Xenopus tropicalis: one gene and its partner. The protein of the gene in region 2 interacts with the protein of the main gene of each other region in a pairwise test. Links are inferred from orthologs where the notes say so. Each region holds a gene or a part of one and is shown on either strand. Other genes may lie near its edges.

The links.
Region 1: the proteins of skp1 (region 2) and fbxl8 interact in binary tests that used the Homo sapiens proteins (3 or more experiments, as listed by UniProt). The link is inferred for Xenopus tropicalis from reciprocal best matches to the Homo sapiens genes SKP1 and FBXL8.

The regions. Positions count from the first base shown.
Region 1 is NC_030680.2:52,167,781-52,175,917, reverse strand, and holds fbxl8 (F-box/LRR-repeat protein 8), read right to left. Parts: upstream 4,630-8,137; coding exon 4,592-4,629; intron 3,988-4,591; coding exon 3,018-3,987; 3' UTR 1,585-3,017; downstream 1-1,584. UniProt on the Homo sapiens protein: Substrate-recognition component of the SCF (SKP1-CUL1-F-box protein)-type E3 ubiquitin ligase complex.
Region 2 is NC_030679.2:26,565,127-26,573,159, reverse strand, and holds skp1 (S-phase kinase-associated protein 1), read right to left. Parts: upstream 4,274-8,033; 5' UTR 4,272-4,273; coding exon 4,175-4,271; intron 3,444-4,174; coding exon 3,370-3,443; intron 2,715-3,369; coding exon 2,571-2,714; intron 1,355-2,570; coding exon 1,214-1,354; intron 1,103-1,213; coding exon 1,067-1,102; 3' UTR 808-1,066; downstream 1-807. UniProt on the Homo sapiens protein: Essential component of the SCF (SKP1-CUL1-F-box protein) ubiquitin ligase complex, which mediates the ubiquitination of proteins involved in cell cycle progression, signal transduction and transcription.

The sequences.
Region 1 (8,137 bases), on a different chromosome or scaffold from region 2:
TTGTACTAATTCATTTATTTATGGTCATTCATTATTTATTTTATTTTTTTTACATCTGCTGGTGTAAAATACTACTACCCAGTTTCTAGGCTTGGTGCCCCATCAATCAAGCAACAACCGAATGACAGAGAGGAACTTAACAGAAAATGTAGTCACTTCTAGGAATGAATGGCTGAATGGAAAGTGAAAGTAATTAACTGCCCTGCACTATGCCTGACGCATAGAGGAGGGAAAGGCAATATATGACTGAAAGTTGAGCTTTTTAAATATGTTTATAGCAGGTATGGATGTTTTAGTAAGAAAACAAATTTGTGTTTCATGTTTAATTTGCAAAGGTCTTTTATTATACAGCTTTTTATTTGTGGGTGACATGTCCTTTTTAATACATAGCAATCAGGGGGTCTTACCATAGTTTAATGAACAAGGGTTACAGAATAGGATTAGGTGGGATGGTCTGTGTCATTCTGCAAAGGAATCCAATTTGAACCAAAACAGTAATAATTCCAAACACCAGTTGAGAGCTCTTTATAAAAGGCATCATCAAACTTTCAATAAACTTTTGGTCAAGCCAAATGACAGCACGACCACTCATCCATACCCAAAAGTCAAACAGTGCAAGCTAGCAATAATATGAGTTGCAGGTTGCTAAATCATTTATGTGGCTGGAAACAGAACCAGGACATGTGACTCAAGCTCATGCCAAGAGGATAAAAATGATGTACTCTTGTGAAGAGCATCGTAGTCATGCTAGACGATGGCTGCCATCAATTGGTCACTTTATGTAAAACAAAGACAAAAAAACACAAGTAACCCTTTCCAATAATTAATTTGACATTTTATACATCTGTGTATACTTTACTTTTAAAGGGTAATGCCAAAGCAAACAGAAGTGTTCAGAGCAAAATAAAAACAAAAACTAAGGAGTGATGAGAAATCCAAACAGCCCAAAGCAGATTAATATCCACTGAACAGATTCAATTACATAAAACAAGCTTGCAAATAATAAGAAAGAAGCAAGGGGTGTGACTTTCCGGTGCCTGATCAGAAACCAATTCTCTTTTTTTTCAGCCTACAATGACGGGAAGAAGGGTTTTCCTTTCCTCCTAATTAACTCACTATTATGGTCTGAAAATGCCTTTGTATATGGTTTTTTAAAATCACCAGGATGGTAGAATGGGGGTGGATGAATAGCAAGTTACCTTGTTACAAAACAGGAGCAGGTTTCCCAAAAAAAGGTTCTATATGGGTGTATGCCCACCAGATTTGCAAGTGTTACAAAATTCATATGTACAATAAACATCAAAGATCAATACTCTCCTACCTGAGTCAGGCATGAAACACTACTTCTGGTTTGTTCCATCTTAATTGCTGTATTGCTCCTTTGATGGTCCGTATTATGGTACTAAAGTCAGATTTTACAGTCCTCTTCCTCTGCTCATTGGGTGTGCCCTTTCCAGTAGGGATTCTGGGAACTTTATTCAAGTACAGAAGCATTTATTGCTTCTTGTGTGTTACAGTCAGTGAGTGGATACACAAAGAGCAACTGCAGAGCAGCTTTCCAACAAAAACCCAACTAGGATGATATGGCTTGTAATGGCATACCGTTTTATTAGAGAGGTTAATGAACTACATGCTTAAAAAAAAATTAGTGTTACAATTTAAAAAAAAAAACGTTATTAGACATTTAAAAACATGAAAACACACAACAATATATTATGAATATTCAAATTCAAGTATGGGATCCCTTAATCAGAAACTTGTTATACAGAAAGCCCTGAATTACATAGAGTTCATTATAGGCGTGATGAGCTCTAATCTCGAATTTTAATGTCAAAAGATAATATTTACTGATATATACAGTATATATTTCAGTATGGTAAGATTCTTTAATAGGCCACTTATTATGATAAAAACTATCTGTTGGTTAAGTATTCATTCTGGGGGTAGTTTTCCTTTAAACAGCTAGTTATAGCCAGGAAATTGCAATGACTCTTAAGTGCCCTGTTAAGTGCAACAAATAATTAAAACCCGTTGATATTTCCTAATAACTGAATACGCAAAAACTATTTTCACAACAACCCTTATTATTGAACTCATGTTAAAAACAGGATAACCTGCCCCTCAGCAAGTACAACAAAAAGTAAGGAAAGACAATTTTTATGGAACTACTTAACATTAGTCGTAGAGGACTCCTCTCCTTTTGTTTGTTTTCGAATTCAGATTCTTGCCATCTGCTCTAACCATTTCCACTGTATCTGCTATTCTGCTGGTCTAGTGGCTCAAGGACTACAGTAGATTCCTAAGAATGCTCACCAGCCACCCCTGAGGAGCCACAGACAGTTGGGGGCCTCCAACACAAGCTTAATTATTACAGAGGCATGGCCAAAGTCTCTTGTATATTACCATATTCTGAATTTTAAGTTACACTTGCTTTTATTAAACTGAAAGAACCCAGGGTCAGACTCAATCCCTGCTGGAGCTCCACAGGCTGCAGATCACTCTACGCCAAGGTGCTGATAAGCATGCTCGGCAGAGGGGTTCAGGCAGGTGACAGGGGCCCTGCGGGGGAGGGGGGCAGGGGCCCCTTGGGTGGCAGCCCTGGTCATACTAAAAGGCCATACTAAAAGTTAAACTGATGGTGAACCACCCCTTTAATGCTCTTTGTGAGAAGACAATTCCTCATAAGTCTTTGCCAAGTAATCATAAGCCTACAAAAATACAATAATTCAGATATATCCCTAACCAAGTTCTGAAGTTAACACATCCCTAGCTGTAAACCCCAATACACTATGTAAGTGCTAAGTGCAATCACAAAACGGTCCATTTTAAACCAATCTGATAGAGGTAAAGTGCTTTGCATTCCATATAGAAATTTATGTTGTAAATGTTACCAATTCTATTTTCAAATTTGATCAAAGCATGCACAGTGTATTTAAATATAAGCTATATGTTTCTTATTTAAGGAACCCTGTAAATTGAGCAACTGTGAAACTTCATTCACTGCAGAGTCAAATGGATTATCGTAAAGTTGGCTTCCAAGGATGCTTCTCTTTGATTACCTTTAGGGTATATTTTTTCAAATGAGGACAACAAGTTAGAAAAGCTTGGATCACTTCTTGCTTTACCACACAGTAGCAGTGAACCTCCTCAAGCCGACTACACTTGCCAGCCAAGTCAATTAGAGCAGAATCTAGTTCACTAGAGGAAGTGGTCTGTATCACAAACTTCTGCAATGTCTGTGAATAATGGCTGCTTACAAATCTAATTTCATTCATCATTTCATTAAACGTATTGAGCTGCAACGTATCGACAGGAATGCTTGGTTTTAAAATATGTGGAATTTTACGGGCAGGGATAGTGTGATCAAATGCCATATTGACATGAAGAGAGGGATGTCGGCAGCGAAGGTCTCTCCAAACCTCATCAGAGATTGCTAAGATATGCTTGTCCATACGTTCACAGAAAAGATCTAGGCAATTAAATGGGGGCCTGTGAGGCTTCATTATGTCCTTAAAAACATCTTCATTCAAAGAACAGTAAAAAGCACCAAGAACACATAATTTAGGACAAACCTCCAAAACCTCTTTAATGGCACTGGTAGAGATTTTGCAAACCAGTGTGCCATTGTTGATATATAAGCTCCGCAAGTTTGGGCTGCTAGTAGCAATGCATCTAACAAAATCATCAGTGAGAGTAAATGGAACGTTCCGGAAATCAACATGATGCAGGTCTATCGGACTGTCTCTGCACAAATTAGCAATACTCGTCAAGATCTCCGGGCCTGAATAAAAAAATGGGTTTTCTCCACAGCAAACAATATTCAAGCTCTCCAGTTTGCAGCTCTCCTTACATAAACAGTCAAAAATCTCTATAACTTTCATACGGTTTGTCTCCTTAGATTGGTTAAACACAAGCTTCAGATGTTTAATTTGACCTACATACTGGCGTAGTCCTTCCAGTAACAGCAAGTCTTTGTCAGATACCAGTCTGTTAAGAAAGAAAGAATGAAATGACATGATCAAGACAATGCTTTCTCTATTCTATCAACTGGTAATAAAGTTTTCTAAAAATATAACTAATGTTTATTATATTGTTTCTTACTTTAACCATGATATAGTTTAGCAATTTGATATAAAGGCATGTCCATGCTGGCCACTTAATTAAACCCCTCAGTAGCCTATATCAGCTATGTATCATAGGTGAGACAAGTGCTACTCCACTATGACATGATAATTAATTGTTTTGGTATTAAATGTAAGGCTGGTCCCATGTTAGTTATATATGATAAGGTTATGCTGTGAGTTATGCTGCATCTACTATCAAGATGCAGGCCCTGCCTGTAGCATATCCACCTTGTGTTATACCATGATGCCATCTCTGTGAGTTAATACATGATGTAACTAGTTAGTACTGTAATACAACCCCTTTGTTTTATATCATAAATCTGACCATAAGAGAAGGTGAAATTCAGCACTCTTGCTTAGGGTACCAAAGGTTTTTGCTCCAGCATGCACATCACTTTGTGGTGTAATTCACGTTTGCCCTTATCTGCAATTTTTATATAGGAAAAGTCTGCTAAACAAGCAATTACCTGATTTCTGTGTAGTGCCAAACAGGACTTGATGCCATCGCAATTGCCCACAACTGGCACACTTGTGATACTACAAATCTGTCATTCAAAGACAGGTGATAAAAAATAATTGCAAGAATTTCCTGAGGCATATGTTTCCAGAGGCCAGACATTGTTGTTCCGTTATCTGTATAAGGTTATTCTGTGTGAGAAAAAAGGAATATTGAAAATACTCCATAAAAATACTATAACAGGAGCACACAGTAAAACTTTGAACTGGGGAGAGGGGGAATACTGCTTGTGCCATAAACACACAGACTTTGACCACTAGTTATTATTAGCCATTAATATATATTATATTTGACCTAACTGGCAACTAAGTTACCATAAATCCATGTTAGTGCAAAACAATTCTATTATTTTATTTTTTTTGAAAACTGAAAGTTCTATGTAGCTTTAAAGGTCATCTAAAGCTTATTTTAGTGGGGAGTGCCAAAATGTTAGGCTACCCCTGTGAAATAAAGCAAAGTCTTTTCTCCGTGCCAGAGCACTAGTTTAGAGAAAATTGCATCAGCCTGTGTGTTACGATCTGTATTGCAGTAACTATTTGGTGAGAAGTAGAACCCCAGTCGAGTCTGAACTTTACCGACATCCTTTTGGGAGACCCTGAAATTTCTGCTGGGGTACTGACTGGAAATCTGAACACTGTTGAGAATTAGGGCACAATAAGTACAATAAGGGGCACATTCATTAAAGTACGACAGGTCCAATAACAAAAAATTTATATTTTTTCTAAAGTTTACAACTTTTGCATATTTTCTGTGATATGTTTGTTAATATGCATGGCTTTTTCGTACTTTGCGACAATTTGTGCGACAAAAACGTATTTGTCGTAACGAGTAAGCTTCCGAATTCATTCAAGCTTCGGTATCGTGGCTTTACTTTGGCCAGGTTGGAGCTGCAGAGTCCTATGGAAGGCTTCCAAAATCATGCACTGAAGGTTCAGAGTCAGAAAGGTTTTCACGCTGTTTACAATCGTTCAGATACGAACATTTCGTAAGTTTTGGATCGTACCACGATATTTTCGTCTAAGCACAACGCAACTTTTCACAAAATTATCGTACATCAGAAATTTGAGTATTTAATGCGAATTTTCGCAAAAAATTAACATACATCAGAAATTTGAGTATTTAATGTGAGTTTTTACAAATCGTACTCGTAATTTGTACTTTAATGAATCTGGCCCTAAGTGTTTAACAGAGCTGTAATCAAAGTCAGGCAAAAAGTATGGGGAGTCGCAAACACAAAAACCAGGTAGGCAGGCAGGAAATAGGTTTCAGCTGGGTACTTTGTACTAGTGCCTGATTTTGACTACAACTCTGTTTAACCCTTACTGTACTGTGCTTTGGATCACTTTTAGTAGTATTCAGGTTCCCAGTCTCATACACCTCTCCTCCCGCTCCACAAGTGCTGCCCCTCTCTGCCAATCCTTGCACTGGCTACCTGTCATGTACAGGATTCAGTTCAAGATTCTTGTACTCACCTTCAAAGCACTCACTGGTGCTGCATCACTCTATTTAACCACCCTAACCACCCTACACCCACAGATGTTACCTTCGCACTACACACAACCTCCTTCTCTCCTCCTCACTCATCACCTCCTCTCACTCTCGCATCCAGAACTTCTCATGCGCTGCACCCATCCTCTGGAATGCCCTTCCCTGTCCCATTAGGCACTGCCAGACTTTCGAAGCCTCTAAACGGTCTCTTAAAACTCACCTTTTGACTCAAGCCTATAACATAAACCCTCCTAAACATTTCCTAACCACTGGTTTTCACCTCTTACTCCGCACTTACTGTCGCTTTACACACCTACATGAATTCCAACGCCATGCTATTTACCCCTCCCTTTCAGAATGTAAGCTCTTTTGCGAGCAGGGCCCTCCCCCTAGTGTCTCAGATCCTCGTCCAATGTAACTGCAAACCATTTTTGTGAATTGTTTGTATGTATGTATGTATGTATGTATGTATGTATGTATGTATGTATGTATATGTATGTATATCTTTATTTATAAAGTGCTACTTATGTACGCAGCGCTGTACAGTAGAATACATTAATACAAACGGGATTATTAAGATAATAATAGATACATACAAAGTACAACAATAAATACAAGATAAATACAGTTGCAATAAGTTAAGAGTCAAAGACACAAGAGGATGAAGGTCCCTGCCCCATAGAGCTTACAATCTATATAGTATATGTACATGTTAACTGTTATATCTTTTGTACCCCTCTATTCTGCTGCATAAATTGATGGAGCTATATAAATAATAATTGTAACCCCGTAGTATTGCCGCACCTACAGTATGCGCAGGGTTTAACATGTAAAGGTAAGAAAACGACTAAGCACGTTTTTTACTGTCCAGTTCAGTTTTGTCTGAAAAGGAACCTCAGGTTTTGGAAGTGAAATAAGCTTTAGATGCCCTTTAAGATATGGTCCCAATCTAGCAAACATTCTAGATCTCATACCGGTATAATTGTAAATATAAAAAAGGAAAGTGCTAAAACCAGAAATCTGTCTTATCCCAGAAGTTTATGAAAGATTTAGATTTGTTAGAAAGGAATCCAAACCCTAAGCATCATATAAGCTGCATGTCCACAAAGCTTGTAAAGAACACAAAGCCATTTACAGAAAACTGACATTCCATCTGAAACTGATGTCACCCTCTGCAGTAGGTTGCCAAGAAAATTCAGGAACACAATGCAATCAGCTGGATTTTTTTTAGACGTGTCCCTGAATTTTCAAGTGATCTGGTCACCCTACTCTGCAGAAGCACAACCTGCACTAATAAGAAAAAAACAGCAGTGGGTACATAGGTCATAGGGTGGGGCTTCAACCAGATTCTGAAGCTCAATAGAAAGACAAATGATATTTACAAAAAAACTTTAAAAAAAAAAACTCTATTTAAAAAAATCTCTATTTAAATAAATGCACTTTATATGCTTTATTTACTTCCAATATGCAGAACTGATAAAGCATGTATACAGATACATCTTCCACAGGCATTCAAAGTAAGTCACTCCAGCTTATTTAATAGGCGGGGTGCAGTAGTAATACTACATATAGGCATATATCCTTCATTTAGCCACATAACTTGCAGCAAACTGATTTAGAAATTCTGTATACCATATATGATTATTGCTGAGCTCCACAACGCACTCCGGCTGCTTACCTCGGAACACAAGCAACTTCTCTTCCGGAAACATTGGCTCACTCTCTCCTGTAAACTTCGATTGGCTGCTAGGAGTCAGATGATTTTAAAGGCCTATCGGTAGTGAGAAAAGTCTACAGCAGGAAGATAATGTGTTAGTGCTGTGATCTGTGTCTGTCACAGTACCTCAGCTGCTTTGTATTGTGTTATTGCTTATAAACGCACTGTTTACAGTCAGGTGTTGGATTGCACTGTTGTGTTGCAGTAAAACAGATATTATTAAATAATGTCTGCTCTATCCCTTGCCTTTAAGTTCTATAACATGGTTGCCACATGACCAGTTTATAGTTA
Region 2 (8,033 bases):
GGAAAGGTATAATTACTGGGGGTGCCTTATCTGAGACCCTGGGTACTTTTGTAGGAGCACCATGTCAACTTCTAGCCTATTACACTGGGATGGTGCAGTTTCCAGCAACCAGAAACACTGGCCTGGAGTCTCACGTAAGCAATTATAATCAATGGGGGGGGGGGGGGGGGGGGGGGGGGGAGTAAATAACATTTTTGCACTTCCCAATAATTATACCTTTCCGCTCCTATTAAGGATGTGAGAGAACAGAAAAAGAAATATGACTTAACAAATGGGCTCTTGCACTAACCTATTTAGCTCTTTGTTGCAGTAAATGTTTAGCAGTGCTACAGTCTTCTCTTGCACAGAAAAGCAACCAAGGAATTGTCTCAAAACTATGCTTGAGCATCTATTGCACTAAGGAAATGTAAATCATGCTACCTCTCTAAGCTTTTAGAGGGAAAGGTAAACCACTAAAGTCTCCCTGTGACATTCAGAGCTGGGACACCACACAAGATAAATACTCGCACATGAACTTGAGACACGTTCGTTAAAGTATGAAATCAGTGTCTGTATGCATAGAAGGTGAACTTTATATAAAAACAAAAATTCACAACCTCATAACTGCCTGAGTGGCCAATTACACTAAACAGAGAAGAGTCTGTCACATACATGTTCCAGGCAGATTATTTTGCCATACACACAAAACAGCACACATTGTGATTTGCTGCTGAAGTTGCCTTGTCAGAGAAGCCAAAATCTAGGAAATGTAAAGTTCTGTCAAAACACAGTTCTGCAAGAACAGGAGTAGACTACTGTGATGCCATCTTTCATCTTCAAAGCACGCAGCTAACAGGTTTATTATTGTTTTAAAGGAAATATCACACAAGATTACAATGGTTAAAACACGGCTTGAAGATCTGAATTACTCAATAAGAAAAAAAAAAAAAAATGTCAGACACAACACATGCAGCAAAACATCCTCCTGCTAATTTAAGCTGCTGAATTGTCTAGTATAAACAGAGCAGTGCAACTAGTTGATTTGGAACGACTTGTACAGTGTTACAGTGGTAACAGGTATGCAACTTCACTTTTCTTCACACCACTGATTCTCTTTGCGTACCTAAAAGGAAAATAGCATAAAAGAGGTTCATTAATAAATACTCTTGTTGGAGTGGAGATATTGGCTGACACACTTGTAAAAGGAAATAAACTTAAGCGTATAAATATATACCTGAGCTTCTTCCTCCTCAGTAAAGTCGTTTTTGATGTTGAAGGTCTTTCGAATTTCTTCTGGCGTTTTTCCTTTAATCATGTTTGCAACTGTCTTGCAGGTGACATCAAGCAATCCTTTGATATCCAAATAGTTGGCAGCCTGAAGATAAAAAAAAAAAAAAAAAAAAGCAAAATCAAACCAGCCCCCAATTTTTTTTTGACCAGCAAGAACTCAAACCCACCCCTGATTTGCTCACACTCCCTTGTATTTGATATGGTACCAATAGACTGCAGAAAAGCTTATGAATTGGCTTAGAAGCAATATATGTTTATGACAATGACACAAAAGTTATGCAGCTCAATCAGTGCCACCAAGAATGTAGCATCCTTTAGGAGGAACTGGACAAACTGGGAGACTGGCCTGCTAAGTGGCATTCCAAAATATGCAAGGAGCTGGGGTGACTTGTGGAAAATAAACTTAGCTTTAGCAAGCAATGCCAGTCAGCGGAAGGAAGAGCCAGCAAGGTATACAGACTCAGAGGGGAAGTACATATTCCCACTTTAGAAAACACTGGCAAAGGCCCCATCTAGAATATGCAGTGCAGTATTGGTCTCAAATCCTTAAATGGATATTAATGAAATAGTAGCTCTTTTTGGACTCGCTCTAAATTAATGAAGGGTATTTTATGAGGAAAAGTTATCATACGTGCTTTAAGTGGCGTATAAGCACTACATATGAATATGCAAGTGTAATTTATGTATATAGGATTGAGATGAAAAAAAAAAAAATAGTTTCAGCCATTTTCAGTTTGGAAGTTAAATCTATGCTGACTGAGGAATATATGGACATGTGTATGTAAATTTTTAAAAATCTTTTATGAATTAGTGTATAAATTTCTAGTAACTGTTGTGTTATGTGTTAACAAGTAAAATGGCAGCCACGTTTTAATGTATGAATAAAATTATGTGTGTTAAAACTATATTGCTCAGAAGCAACATGCAGATGCCATGTGGATGCCTTTATTGAAGCCACTAAGGACAAAATTATGCACAACGTTTCATATATGTGGGCTCACCCTTACCTCTCAAGTGCAGGAGAACAAGCACACTTTGTTGGAACATGTTAATGGCAAGGTTTTTAAATATCAACTCTCCTACCTCTTTCGGACAAAAACACAAATAATTACTGGCTGTGTTGTGTGTGCACTACCTTCAGGCTGTGTTGTGTGTGCAATACCTTCAGACTGTGTGGTACTTTAAGTTGCAGGTTCCCTTTAAGGTTATTAATACTACTAAGTACAAGTACTAGAAATACACTTATGTAATTCTAATGGGTTCTATAAAAGCTGTTGGGTTTTTTGGTGAGCATGCCTCACCAAAATCAGTTCAAATAGTGTTCCCTGATCCACTTTTAAAAACTCTTGGTCCCACACAGGGATATCATCTGTTCTCTTCTCTTTGTTTTCATCGTCTTCGGGTGGAGGGGGATCATCTTTATGATGTGTACACCACTGAATGACCTGATGAAAATAAAAGTACATAGGTATTTATCTTTATGATTTATACAACTGACTGCATTTGTTGGCCAGGTCCTGAATCCAAGACAATGTGGTACTGCTAAACTTAAGATATGTTCAATTTCATCATTTTGTTGTTTATATGTTAATATAATTCAAGCTAGTAAAAAAAAAAAAAAAAAAAAAAGTAAATCTTGTAACAACCTACACTTGAAGAGCTAAACCAAAAATAGGAGCAATGTCCTCTACTGCCTGAATTAGAGAGCAAGTGTTTCTAGGTCTGAAACAGTATACATCATAACTCAAGAATATGAAACCCCAAACAGCAGGATGAAGTTCCTAATAACCAATAGTTCAGTTTTATTTTTTTACTTGCCAATATGCCTTAAAACCCTGGCATTTATAAGTAGTTCTTCTTCTGGCAGTGATAAGCAAATATAAATAATGTGTGTGTGTGTGTGTGTGTAGGGGGGGGGGAGGCTGTTGCAACTTTTTAATTAACACAATTCTGAATCTGGTACAATTTTTTTGTCCTAATTACATTGCATTATATCCCTGCAGCAAACCAACACCTCTAAAAAAAAAAAAAACAATCTCTAATCTGCATCCAGTATTCTAGTATGGGTATACGTAAAACCACTACCTAAATAGCACTTACTTTTTTAAGGATTGCAGCATTAACATTGGGAAGTGGCACAGGGTCATCATCACCTTCATCATCCATACCCAGATCTGTTTAAAAACATTTAATTGATAACTGTGTCTTGCCAAAAAAATGTAAAAAAAAACCCAAGATAATTTAGACAGAAAGGCAATGTTCTAAAACTATAGTCAAATAAGAGATTTCTCAAGAATTTACACAAAATAAATTTAAACACAACAGAAATATTACAACCAGTTCCTCTGAGGACAATTTTTTTTCAGCAAGACTGCTACTTATTTGTTATATTGGGATCACTGCTGTTATGAGTAGTTTGAAACGCTGTGTACCTGTTATGTAGTGAACAGCACCAAAACTTTTTTTTTTTTTAATAAAAAGCCCTTATTCCATCATTTCCAAATCCTGGATTGTACAAACAATGTTTTCTAAAGTACCCTGTGTACCTGTCTCTTATCAGTGTAAAAGGAGCTACTACCTAAAAAGATAATCCTCCACAAACCCAAGAAATTTCCCAATTTGAAAGTGGATGACAAAATGATTGGAATTACCCCTGACATTTCAATTGCAAATGTCTGTTCACCCAGGTGCACTCAAAGGTCATGCAAATGCTACATAGAAGAAAAATTCCCAGCAATATTGTTTCTGTAAAGGGATTGCTTTTGGAGAGAATCCACTCAATTGCCCAATGTGCCTTTACACCAACACTTTCAAAGCTAGGAGAATAAAAACAAATGAAGACCTGCACACCAGAGGACAAAATTATAAAGAATACATATTCAAAGAATTTTTTTTTAAAAAGTACCTTCCAACATAGTTTTAATTGTTACTGACTGCTTTGCAATTTCAACATCCACTTCAAAAATCTCTCCATCAGAACTCTGCAGCTTTATAGAAGGCATCTGAAAAACAAAAACACATTAATCAACACAAACAGTACTGCTTAGTGAAGTTACTGCAAGCAAAACAGAAAGAAAATCAATTGGTACTTTCAATGAGAGATGATCAGGAAGGCAGCTGTGAAACTCAAGATGCTGCACTGAAGCACATTTAAGCATGGTGAGCAGGAGAGACATGGGAACAAAATGGCAGCAAGCACAGCAAGTGCACTGCAGGCCATTGTAGGCAAGTAGAATCACAGAGTGGCTAACATGGCAACCACCCCCCCAGTGACTATACCTTTCCTTCTGCTTTAATGAAATGCAAACATCATGTTTCATGCCCTGGTTGTCAGTAAGGCAGGGCCAATAAAAATAATCATCTATACAACAGCCCTGGTGCCTGGTTGCTTCAGTCTCTGCCCAAGACCCACACCAACTGTGCAATATACAGTGGTCTGGCACGGCCTAATGAGCAAAGGGAAGAAGCTGCAGCTAGTAGGAATAAGAAGGGGCCTGCCAACTGTTGCCAGCACCCTGCCCTCCACTACCAGGAAGAGAATAAGGAGCTAAAAGCTTTGGGTCTCATCCGGAATGTGCAATTACCGGTACTCTGCAATTTTCAGAGAGCTGTGCAGGAATTGGGAAAATGCACTAAATTCTAACAGCTGTCAACCTGGCACTGCTCCTTTAACAGCCGACTGCAAATGGCTGGACAGCTGGAGATGGATGAACCCTTGTTAACACTGGCCACCATTAGTGTGCACGCAGTACACAAAGGGAAAGTGTCTCTGGCATATATGATGTGGGAAAGACTTACTGAGCAGGTATAACTATGGAAGCAGAACAAAGTAATTACCAACAAAGGGTGTCATTTTACTGCTGCAGTATGACTTTGCCAATAGCAGCCAGGATAATGGCAATTGCCAAGCTCCAAATCTGCATTAGAGGCCATTTGCCCATCCTGCCCAGAAAAAGAATCTGTACATCAATAGTTGACATACAGCCAATTACAGAGAGGACATTTGCTATCCCTGAGCCATGCTTTTCACTCAGCCTCATTTTAAACAAAGGCTTTATGAATTAAAATAACAGAAGTTTGGCCTAGACAGCAACATACAGAGCAGAGTGACTAACAGCACAAGGCAATAGGAATTACCATATTCTGTTAAAAAGAGGACTGGTTATTAAATATCTTAGAGGGGACAGAGTGTACTTGAAATCTTAATTGTGTAGTTAAGCACATTTTTAATCTTACAGGTATGGGATCTAGATTAAGGAGACTCATTATCAAGAAAGCTTTTGGAAATGCCATTTTATTATTGTTTGACCAATTTCCTTTTGCTCTATAATAGTGGATATTTCAAAACGGTGACTGATCCCCTACAAGTTCCATGTGAGAGTCCACTGTGCCCAGGTAAACAAATATACTGTTTAATTTATTATAACAAATATAATGGTTTATAAGGAGTGGGTCCAGCCTACATGGACTTGTCAGACGAGAATGGCATCAAAGTGACAATGCAGTCTTTGCCATGTAGGATTTTCAACCCTGCCGAATATATATCTAATTTTGTTTGGGTATGGATGGGCTGGGTCAGCAGGTGTTAAGACAATAGTTGACTGAAAAGTTTTTCATATACTTTTTCAGGCACTCTACATATTGTAGCCTTCACCATTCCCAGCTACAGTCTGTTGATCTCAATGGTGGCCAATAAAAAGTGCAACAATTTTTTTGCACTAAAAGGAAGTAAACTGCAGGTAAAAATCAGTCCCTGCGTACTAATGTATAATGAAGCAGTAAAATACTTAATAAATAATATAAAAGTCAGTACGGGAATTAAATTTGGCATAGTTGGCCAGCTTTCAGTATATTGCTAAAAGGGGAGGTCATTTCTTAGTAGCTTAATGCACAGAATGTCTTAATGTCCTATATCTATACCTATATCTATCTCTCTCTCTCTCTGTATCTCTCTCTCTCTCTGTATCTCTCTCTCTCTCTGTATCTCTCTCTCTCTCTGTATCTCTCTATATATTGAGAATATCAATATCTTTGGTCTGAAACCTGCATGTCACCACAAAAGCTCATAGCTCAAGCAGTGACCGGCATGTTTTCCTCCAGCTGTGTCATGATCAAAGGTAGCTGCACAAGCAAATGATTGGGCAACTTTAGATTTCACTGCCTAGGGTCTGTATGTTTTGACTAGAAGACTAAAGGAAATCATCAATTATTATATATAACCAATTATTTTACAGGAACTGCAGTTTTTGCTACAAAGGAAGCTACCAATCACCTGCAAGGGAATGCAGACATCAGAAACCACACTCTTGGGGCCATCTTGGCCCCAGTTAAGTTGATAGGCATGACTCCTGATACCTGTATTCTGTGCCAGTCATTAAGGGGGGGTAAGTGATTTTCAATACAGTAGTTCAGGATGGAATCCCAAGGACAACATGATGGGTGAAACCATTATGCACTGCAGGTAAATGTAATGATTTCATCCCATGAGCATGGGTATCCCTGCAGCGGTCAGCTGACATCCCCCCACCAATTAAAAGCGAGCCCCTGTGCTGTAGCCAAGTAACACTCAACAGGAAAGCTAATGAGCCCGCACACATTTTTTAAAGTTGTTGAAAGCAGAAAGCGCTTGTTTGAGACTGATGAGGGATATCTGCAAAGTTTAATAGCCTATAAACTACAAATTAGAAAATCACAGTAAAATGGATAATATCTTTTAAAAAAAAAACAACAAAGGAAAACTATAGTTCTAGTTTCCCGCAAAGTAACCCTCTGCCCTCCGGAGTTCCTGGTCGTAATTTCCAAATGAAGGGGGAGGGGGGGGTCTGGAACCCGGGGATAAACAACAGCGAGAAATAGAGGGAGATGCTAATAGGAAACCTGTGAGTAAAGAAGAAATGGACGGTAGCCGGTAAGGGCCGGGGTAATGTAGGAACTTGAATATGCCGCACAACGCGGCCTCCAACACAACACAGACAGGGCCTTCACACAGCAGCCTTTGCGGCCTAGAAATGACGCCGCCGAAAACTATGGCCGCCCGGCATATACACGCTCCTATATAATAACTACAGGGCTGGAAAGCACATGTACATCTACTGGCAACTTACCTTGTAATATATGTCCACCGAAGCAGCAAAACAAACCTCCGGGGGTCTTCAGCAGCAGCCGGCCGAAGCGCTCCACCCACCACGACACTAATACGGTATGGCGCTGTAGGGTGGGACAATTTCAATGCACGCCTTACGTCACATTCTTCGGACCAATGGAAAAATAGAGCATTTGACAGCGTCTCAGGCTGCCGAAGAATTCACCAATTACATGCTGAGCCGTTGCATTCGTCATAGGGCAAGATCCAATCCGAGTGTTCCAATAGTAGGTAGGCGTTGTAGGTTGAAGTGTTCTCGCCTAGCAACAAGCGTGCTTATGGGCGGGAATCATGCGTAATAGTCAGGCTGTCAGTGAAATGCGTTGTCATTATGGTAGAGAGTGTTTAAGGATAATATTTTATTGGGCAGCACAGAAAAACAGTTTTATGATAGACCTGGTGTTAGTGATGGCTATGGAATTTAAGTAGTAAAACACTTAATATACGCCCACCTGTGTTTTTCTAGAGGATCTGAGATTTTATTTCTGATAATAGAATTGAGCTGTTTGTAATTGACGTGTCTAAGTGTAATTAATGGCTCAGTAATTACAATTGACATTTAATAAACTAACCTTGTTTGTATACCTACAACTGACTTCTGATAATAGGGGCTCTGGGGAAA